Linked DNA regions of Drosophila melanogaster. The protein of the gene in region 2 interacts with the protein of the main gene of each other region in a biochemical or structural test. Each region holds a gene or a part of one and is shown on either strand. Other genes may lie near its edges.

Region 1 (5,182 bases), on a different chromosome or scaffold from region 2:
TGGCTTTGATTGTGTGGTGTGTGTGCTGTGTGTAGAACCGTTTTCTTTCCAGTTGTGCGGTTCATCCGACTGGACGGCCAAGATTCGTTTTAATACAAGCTGGATTAGTGCATACGTCACAGGAAATGAGGAATTAGCTGGGGTTATGTTTTTTTTTTCATAGGGCTTAATAAAATGAGTTTCATAAGTCCGAAAAAGGAGCGAATGACTAAGGTTAGCAGTCTACTCAATTGCGTTAAATACTTCAAAGCTTCGGAGACTAGTTGCAGCTCTAATCGAATTTTGAAAAATTTTGGGATGTTTTTCTTTTTTTCATAAGTGTGAGTGATTGGCGGTAGATAAGCGGTTGGGTAAGAACATAGAACGCATACTTGTGTGCCACCCTTGATCGGCAATTACTTACGTAGATCAGCTTGTTGTAGTATCTCTGTCTCAAGTTATGGAGCACAGAGGCATCGTTAAGGTATGTCAAGTTGGACATATCCTCGGCTTTTTCGTATTTCGGGGGGTTCACTTGCTGGAGCAGATCTTTCTTTAAGTCTCGTGTCTGTTTATCATTTTCGTTCGGTTTGTCGGATTCAGTTCGATTGGTTATGTTTAGTTTTTGTACAACATTTGTTGGTTAGACGTTGGGTTAGCAGTTCGTTTTTGAGATTGAGAGAGAGAGAGAAGAGATACCCATACATTAGTGAGTTTCTGGCAGTACAACACTTACGTAGATGAGCTTAGCATAGTAACGCTGACGCAGATTGTGCAAAACGCAAGGAGTGTTAAGCACGGTCATGTCGGCCATATCTTCAATTTTTTCGAATTTTGGTGGATTGACTTTTTCCACCTTCTCGGATTTGATATCTCGTACCTAATCGTATATGTAGGCGAAATCTATAGTTTCATTCTAATTTTGTGGCTACATTATAAGCTATTGAAGTGTATGAGGTCATGACAAAGTCCCAGTCTTATGCTATCCATTGAAAAACCCTTCTTGTAGTAGTAGTAGTAGTACCAAGAAGATTTTCCCATTGGGTAACAATTGACTAACACTTTAGGTCGACCATAAGACTCTTCAATAGCTTTTTTTTTTTTTTTTTTATGCTGAAGCCTCGTGTAGACGATGACTTTACCTCTCCACCCTGCAGACCAACGGAGACGATATCGCCCTTGGTGGCCTTGATCTCACCAAGGAGATAACCCTCCTTCTCGTCGGGGATCCAGCAAGACTTCTTCGAGTCATAGGGTTTCGATTGATCGATACGCCTTTGCTCCAAAGACACGAACAGGTATGGGGTGGGATCCTCATCCTCCTGATTTGCGACTGGCTTCGGCATCTTGCTTAAATTTCGTTTAGAAACTTAAAAACTCGAAAAATAATATTGGGACTTTTCAAAATTTCTTTGTTAATCGCGTCGTGAGCCCAAAACTTCCCTGTAAATATACAAAAGAAAAATAATATTTATTATATGGTTCTCAGAAAAGCATACTATTTTTGGAATTTTGTTTCGAAGTCTGATTCTTTTATGGATTTTATGCTTTTGACCCATTTTGACAGCAGCAGCAATAGCGGACACTATAACAGTTCTACGCGTGTGTGCGTGGATAGGATTTCGAAATTTAATTTCGATTTCCAAATATGAACATTTTTCCCGTTTCGCGCTTTCGAAATTCCCGTTACCGTAACCGGATATTTATTTATGTGTGGCTTTGATTTTATCTCACACCTCAAAGTTAATTAGGCCTGGTCGGTGCTTGTGTTGTTGTTTTTGTTATAAACAGACAACAAGTGAATTGTGTGGGTTGTCGCCTAAATATAGATCACGGATCCGATACGAATATGTATATGTATACCACTTATATATATATATATCAGAATGCTTTGCATATATACGGATTTTCGGGGCGTTGGTATTTGTTACGTAACGCCAATTTTCATTTAGATATTTGTGTACATTTCTCCAGGTTTCTTTGTGAAAAAATCTACAGACTATTGATACGCCAAAACAATGCTTATTATTACAAATGTAGAGAGGTTAAACTGTCACCACAACTCACTCAACTGGTAACTACTACCGTTTGGAACGCGATTTCGATATTTTGAACAGGTATCTCGATATGGTGGCGTGTTCTCATACAAGCAATTCACGAGATCGCAATGATTCCTTTCAGTAAACTTCGAAGGCGGAACGATTTTCGACAATCCACACTAAATCGACAATCGAAAATTCGATTCGAATTGACGCGAACTTTTAACGAATGCGTTATTTTTAAAATTCTCGAAATTATTTCGAAACTAAAGTCACATACATATTCGTCTATATGTAATTCGTAATTTCGAGAAGCTTTTTGGCTCATGCTACCACATGGCACACATAGACATAATGTATAAGTATTGGCGATCTCTTTCTAATGTCTTTGGTTATTTTTAAAACATATTCGAAATTATTTCGCCCATGTATATGAGCCGACAACGAATTCGAGTATTCTAAATCTATTTTCTATAGTATGCATACGCATATGTCTCGGCCACACAGGTATTTGTGTATGAAATCATTTCGCCAGTAATTCGAAATGGCTATTACAGCATTTCGAACTCACATCGAAACACGAATTTTTCATTTGATGAAGTAACAGCTGGCTGTCTCTTTCTGACATTTAAATGATCTATTTGCTTTAGAATTTTTTAAGTAGTCGAAATTTAGAACGATGAAAGTCTTTTATTCCAAAATTCTTGGGCGAGAAAGGATAAACTAGTTTTTTGTGAGAGTCCTAAAAGTAAGAAAGAAGTTTCCTTATATCCTTGTTACTTCACTTTCAGATTTTTTCGCTGATATGATCGAAAGTCAAAGATTTGTTACACAAGAAGTTGAAGATAGTTGCATACTTCTCAGAAAACAAATTAACGCCTATAGGTTATGTTAAGTAACTGATGTACTTCCTAAGAAAAGATTGTTATTTGTAATCCAATTCGATACGATAATCCGAGGTATTCCGGTTCACTGTTCTGATTGTCACAGAGTTTTAATAGATCCGTTTTCGCTCGGATCGTAGTTAAAGCACCACACACACACTTTTTTAAATTTCTCGATTTTGTTGCATATATAAATATATATAGGTAGTAATAATTATTTTAGTTTTATGCTTTTTGACCAAAAGGTCAAATTGTTGCTGCTGCCGCTGATGCTGCTGCTACCGCTACTGCTGCTGGGTGGTAATATCCAAAAATCAGAGATCGCACATCAAAGGTGTTGCACTTACGCGCTCGAAAGCCGTTCTGAACCGTGCAACCGGTAAACTTGCCTTTTATACGGGGCAACTTGATACCCATGGATCCCGTAAGACCCCGAAAGCTTTTCGATTCGACGATCGGTGTGCGTGGCGCTGTTTCTGTTTCGGTTTTTCTTGCTCCCTTTTTCGGTCTAGCACTTGGCTGCTCTGATTCCTATTCCTCTTCTCTAGCAAGTGGGCATTTCTATGGGGGATTGCGGGATGGTGGATATGGTATATGTGTGAGCATATGATGCAATCAGGATCGTTGCGGAATCGAGAGCGGAAAGCTCCTTCTCCGACGATTGCCATTGCGTAGGCTCTCTCGCAATTCTCCCATTAGTCAAATAGTAAAATTCATTTCAATGACAACTTTTCCGCCGTGAGGCAATTCTTCTCCGCCGGAATCCCTCGCTCTTTCCAAGGGGAGCTTTCTTTTTACTTATTTCACATATCATTTCTAGACGCACACATGTGTGTATGGCATGGCATGGTGGGATCTTTATTTGTTTTTCTCGGTGATCATTTTTCGCTTTTTGTTCTGGTTTTGGTTTTTGGTCACCTCAATGCCAATCCGATCTGGCACCAATGTGGGTGGAATACAGGGGGAATGCTTGCGATCAGGCGGCGCTATGTGGTTTTCCTCCTAATCTGCGATCACTTTACGATCAGTGGCTAAACAGCTGTTCGAGAAGACCGATCGTATGCTATCAATGGCTACAAACATTCGTTTGGTCATCGTTCAGTTGTAGAACGAAAAAACCCGATCCTTTGAGTTAATGATTGATGATCTATCTAGCCTAAGGATCGGCCATAGCAAGCACATGTCCGCCAAAAGTAATGATGTGAACTTCAAAATAACATAGATGGGCTAGAACATGCAAGCAATTGCAATGCACGCAAAAAAAACGAAATAAAACACATAGTTGAAGAGATACTTTAGATATAGATAGATAGACAGAGAAATGCCACATCAAATCAATGTAGTCGGCGTCCTTCAGAGCAATGCGATGCGAAAATCTTTAGGTTTCAATGCTAAAATCCAATACAAATACGATTGCAAATACGAGTGCATTATGAAATTCGTGTTGTAGCGATTTGTCGAGAATTTATCAAATCTATAATGCTGACAAAGAGAATTATGATAAATGCCAACAGAATTGAAATAGTCTCCCCTCTTACAACGATGTCAAATTCCGACACAGAAATTATTCATAATTTTAAGCAAAATTACAAAATTTCATGTGCAACATTTTTGGCAAAGAATTATATGATAAATGTATATACACCCACTGCAAGGTATTTTCGACAAATACTTTTCGTAATGAGTTGGTCCGTCTTGAATATTCAATATTTAACAATGATTATTGTGTAGCGGAAAAAGAATACGCAAAAAAACAACTCATGAATTCGGACAAAAACAACTTTCAAACATTTTTTGAGGAATATTTATAGTTTGAAAAAGATTTCAGTTCTCATTCAAGTGTGAGTGTTTTTTTCCTTTATTTTCGGTGCAGGGTTTGCTGCTCTCTAGTCTTTTCTCACATATAAAATTATAATACTTTTTGCTAAGTTTCTGAAACAAAATCTGTGACATTGTCGAGCAGAATTGTGGGCAAAAAGACAAAAACATAAATTGAGCATTTAAAACAAATTCCAAGAACAACAAACAACAATTTAGCACCTGACAATAAATTATTTTGGGGTTATTTGTTGTACTTGTAAAGCCAATGAGTTGGTATAAGTTAATATTTAACATTTAATAATTAATAAAAAAAACCTTTAGTTACGATACATTTTGGTCTTCTTTATTATTCTAGATGGTTCTTCCCTTGCTCCCTTAAGATATTCGATGCGAAAAAAGCGAATCCAATATTCTGCTCCCAATTTTTTGTTCGAAAAGCACAAAAACATTTTCGTTTTG
Region 2 (4,195 bases):
CAATTTTCCGTGCACCCGGTTTCGAAAAGAAAAACTAGTAAAATAAGAAAAGTGGCCGGTTTCAGTTTTATCATTGCGCTGTGCTTCTGGTTGAGGTCGAAATTTAAATAAAAAGAAAAATCGTGGCGCCCATATAAGATATATGTATTAGGGTGAGCCAGTAAGTATAACATAAGTACACAAAATATTGAAAAAACAGAATATATTTAAAGTATTTTTCATGATCGTGATCCTTTTCTATTTTGAGTTCTTTTGTGATTTAATAATATAATTTAATTTAGTTTGCGATTAGTTCACTCTAAAATGTACTTGTACTAATTCAAACGCACACAATAGCCTAATTTACCCTATTGTGTGTTATTAGAGGGGTTGCACTTGTGATTTATGCAAATAGACACTTTATGGGGACTTTGGACTACTCTGATTTTCCTTACTCGTTCATGGAGGGCAGTACTCACCAGTCAGTCCACCAAAGTGGGTTTTAACGTTTCGTTCATCTTGTTTTAAATTATAATAAAAAATGGATTTCTCATGCGCTTGACTATGAAGTTAAAGTTTTTAAATGCCCATGGGGATTTCTTTAAGCACTAGTTTTTGAATACCTCATACCTGCCGTCATATTTGAATAGGAAAAACATCAATGTTTATTTAGTTTTATTTATTGCACAGTTTTTATTTTAAGCTTTACAATATAAATAGGTTTGTTTTATTTACTCACTTTGCTAAAAATGAAGTAAATAACCTTAAAAATACCATGTATTGAGAGGTAAGTTGTGTTAATATATATGAATAAGTACATATGGCAATATATTAACAGAAATTACGCATGTAAGAAAAAATATACAATATTCGTTTTCTTGAAAGGTCTCCACTCCATAAGGCAGATTCAGGATACAGAGTTTTGAGATGCGCAGATATGCAAACGCTTACTGACTGACTATACACATATGTACGTATGGATCTTTTGACAATGGGTGGTTACCCTTTATATAACTACGAGTGCTCATCCGTTCGTCCGACGGTTCTATTGGTACATTTAGGTGCGCTTACTAAAGGACACTGGCATACCTTTGGTTGATATATGCCTTGGTGTGGTAATTATAAGTTCTTATCGAGGCCGCCAGTGTTTGAATTAGTTGTTTGTCCCTCTTTGCCGGTGCATACGAATCAATGTCACTGCCACTGAGGTGGATAACAAATATTAACAACTACTATATTTACACAAACCGGATTAGCTACTCCACCTGATATTCCGTGTGCGCAGGACACGTTCCGCCCACGTCTGTGGTCTTGGTATTTCCCGGGCCACTCCAGTTTGTTTTTTGTCGATATAGTCAATTACATCATCGTAATAGTTGGTTCTGTAGTTGTACATGTATTTGTATTGCAGAAACTTCGGCCTGAAAAGTGCAGATTGCATAAGATACAGTACGGTACAGTGCTGTACAGTACAGTGGAGGACCAACCTGACCCAGTGGCGGTAGAGCTGCACCGGTTTCCTGTAACCATCGTCTTCTGGCGGAGGCGGCGGTGCTTTGATTTCTTCTACCTCTTCCGGAGCAGCCTCCTCGTTGGCCGGAGTGCCAGCCACGACGCTATCAGCCTTGTGATCGGATGCCACACTCGGTGCTTTTGAGGGTGGGGCCGGAGTGCCCGCCTGGGTGGATGCCGCCTTCTCCTCCTCGCCGCCGTCGTCGAAACCCCATGGATCTTCTTCGTCTGCCATATTACTGAAACGGAATCCTTTCAATATTATTATATATCTATCATAGACAGATTCACTTTCAATATTCGATCTCTAGGTAACGTAAGCCATCATCATATTATTATATCACAATAAGATACTTTAACAAATTCACTGTCTTCTTATTTTTTATAAACGTTGGCCTTTTAACGTTGCATAACATTGCAACACAACCTAAATTTCAATTTTGTTCTTAAAACAACCTTTTTCGCAGTTGATCGGAAATGTTTGGAATTCAGGACGCCCAAATAGCTGGCGTTCTTAGACCTTTCGAATTCAGGACGATTTAAATGGTTCAATGCATTATAATCTACATATAATGAGTTACATCATTCATCGATTGAATTGTATAGATTCATCTCTTAAACCACTCATATCACTGTTATCTTTCCAAAGGACTTTTTATCATAGACTTATTAATAGACGTTCAAGGGATTCACATTGATTTTCTAGCAGCTAAAACTAGGACATTGGGTCCACTGAAAAATTAGGGACCGTACCTTTACTATAGTGTTTATACTGATATAAAGGAAAAAAGACTAAATGATCGAACTGCTGCTCGAAACAAATGCACTTAGAAAACTTAATCTAAATATATCGAGAAGCAACATCTATATACAAAGGTTGGCATGCGTACTCACATACTAAATTTAATTGGCCGAAACGCTATTAACACCTATGTACTAAATAGTTTCACATTTCAGCATCAAAAGTTCCGGAACAATGAAAAAGTTAGTAAGCAGATTCAAATTTAAGTAGTCAAATAAATCTTTTAAGCTCAATTTGATCGATTTCAACAATTTGCTCATTTATACGGACTTAATTTTAAATAGTTACAACACTTGTTAACTTTTTCCAGAATAAGCCTAAAGATTATGAATCCTAGTTGATAAATGTTCACATAAGAAATCCGCACCGTAATTGTTAAATTTGTTATTTTAAAATTTTTTTGGTTTCATCATGAATCCAATAAGAATTTTAATTATTTAAAAAGGAACCGTTACTCTATCACGGGAACGACGAAAGTGGAACACTTCATAAATTTATTTATATAGGTTATATCTACGATCTAACTAATACTCTAACCGTATTGGTATTCTTGCTTAAATACATGCTTATAATTTTCTTAAAAGCCCCGAAATTAATTTAAAAACAATTTTGTTTAAACGGCGTGAAAACAATCGCCCTAACTTATCGATACATCAAAAGCGAAAACCAGCAGCACACATCGATAAGGCGCTCGTATATATATCGCCTCGATTTAAGCCACCCCTAAATTTGTTGTATTGATTGTGTTTTGGTCGAATAAGTTTATTGCATTTGCGAAAAGTGATTTTGTTTAGCCTAGCGGGTAGCAGAAATGTGCCTAAAATCAATGTGTCATTTTCGTTCAGGTAATAACCGCACCCACCTCCCGCCGAGGCGGCGAAAATCCCGTGTGAATCGAGCTACATACACACTTTAGCCCATTTTGCGTGCATATACACTGCATGTGCGTACATATGTACATACGCACCTGCGTACATATGTACATATGTAAATATCAAAAATAACAATTTAGGGCGAATTTGTGTGGAGAATAAAAATCAAGCAAGCAAATCGTTTTCCTAGGACATTGTACGTTGGGGCCAAGTGGACCATGTGACAAAGCCATGCCCACTCGCACACACGCAAGCACATATGGACACAAACAACAAACTACTTTATTTAAATCGAGCGGTTCGAGCAGTGCGAGCCGGTTATATTAATGCATTTTAATTCGCATTCGAATTCTCGCTCCAAAAAAAAAAAAAAAAACAGTGCCAATTTATGTAAGCGAGAACCCGAGGTCCACTGGGAGTTAAACGTGTGTAGCAAGTTGTGTAGCAAGCCATCGCCAAAGAAACCCCCGCTCGAAACGCATACACTTGGTTTGGTATACGATGTGGAATATTGGTGTCCAAGTGCCAGCCTTTCCCTGCTGACCACCCTCCCCCACCCCCTGCTGGAGCCCACTGGAGCCCCTTACCCGATTTGGTGTGAATATTATGTGCAAAATAAAAAGGCCGTAACACCGAACGAACGCTGGGGAGGAAGGGCAGGAAAAAAAACTGTAGGCGCGGGCCGTGCTTTCCCCACGTGACACGCAGGCGTATGCGTGTGCCAAAAATTCCATTTATTCGGCGTATATTCATCGCGAAAGGCGATTTCAAACTGCATTGACACTCGCACTCGCGTTTCTGGCCCAAAGTATACCAGCCATCTAGTGAAACAAGCGCTGATTGTGACCCACAATCCCAAAATAGCCTTGTTCCCAACATCTTACTCCAAAATACGTGTTCAAAATGGGGTTTTGGGTTTCTCCAGGAACCGAACTAATTGCCTCCAGATTGACCATGACCTTAGCCATTTTCAAAACTCAACTACCTTCCGTTTGGCACGAATTTGGCTCATGGCAGAGCTTTAATTTCA

The links.
Region 1: the proteins of fln (region 2) and Mhc interact in far-western blotting, tested with the Drosophila melanogaster proteins (one study listed by BioGRID).

What each region holds. Positions count from the first base shown.
Region 1 is NT_033779.5:16,764,824-16,770,005, reverse strand, and holds the start of Mhc (myosin heavy chain), read right to left. Parts: upstream 3,273-5,182; 5' UTR 3,250-3,272; intron 3,081-3,249; exon of another isoform or gene 2,896-3,080; intron 2,230-2,895; exon of another isoform or gene 2,047-2,229; intron 1,423-2,046; 5' UTR 1,326-1,422; coding exon 1,122-1,325; intron 860-1,121; coding exon of another isoform or gene 716-859; intron 548-715; coding exon 404-547; intron 1-403. UniProt on the Drosophila melanogaster protein: Muscle contraction.
Region 2 is NT_037436.4:19,988,905-19,993,099, forward strand, and holds fln (flightin), read right to left. Parts: upstream 2,317-4,195; 5' UTR 2,245-2,316; intron 2,220-2,244; exon of another isoform or gene 1,948-2,219; intron 1,836-1,947; exon of another isoform or gene 1,731-1,835; 5' UTR 1,727-1,730; coding exon 1,467-1,726; exon of another isoform or gene 1,401-1,466; coding exon 1,245-1,400; exon of another isoform or gene 1,183-1,244; coding exon 1,050-1,182; 3' UTR 647-1,049; downstream 1-646. Other genes in the region: Csas (CMP-sialic acid synthase), read right to left, coding at 1-74. UniProt on the Drosophila melanogaster protein: Possibly involved in the regulation of flight muscles contraction, possibly by modulating actin-myosin interaction.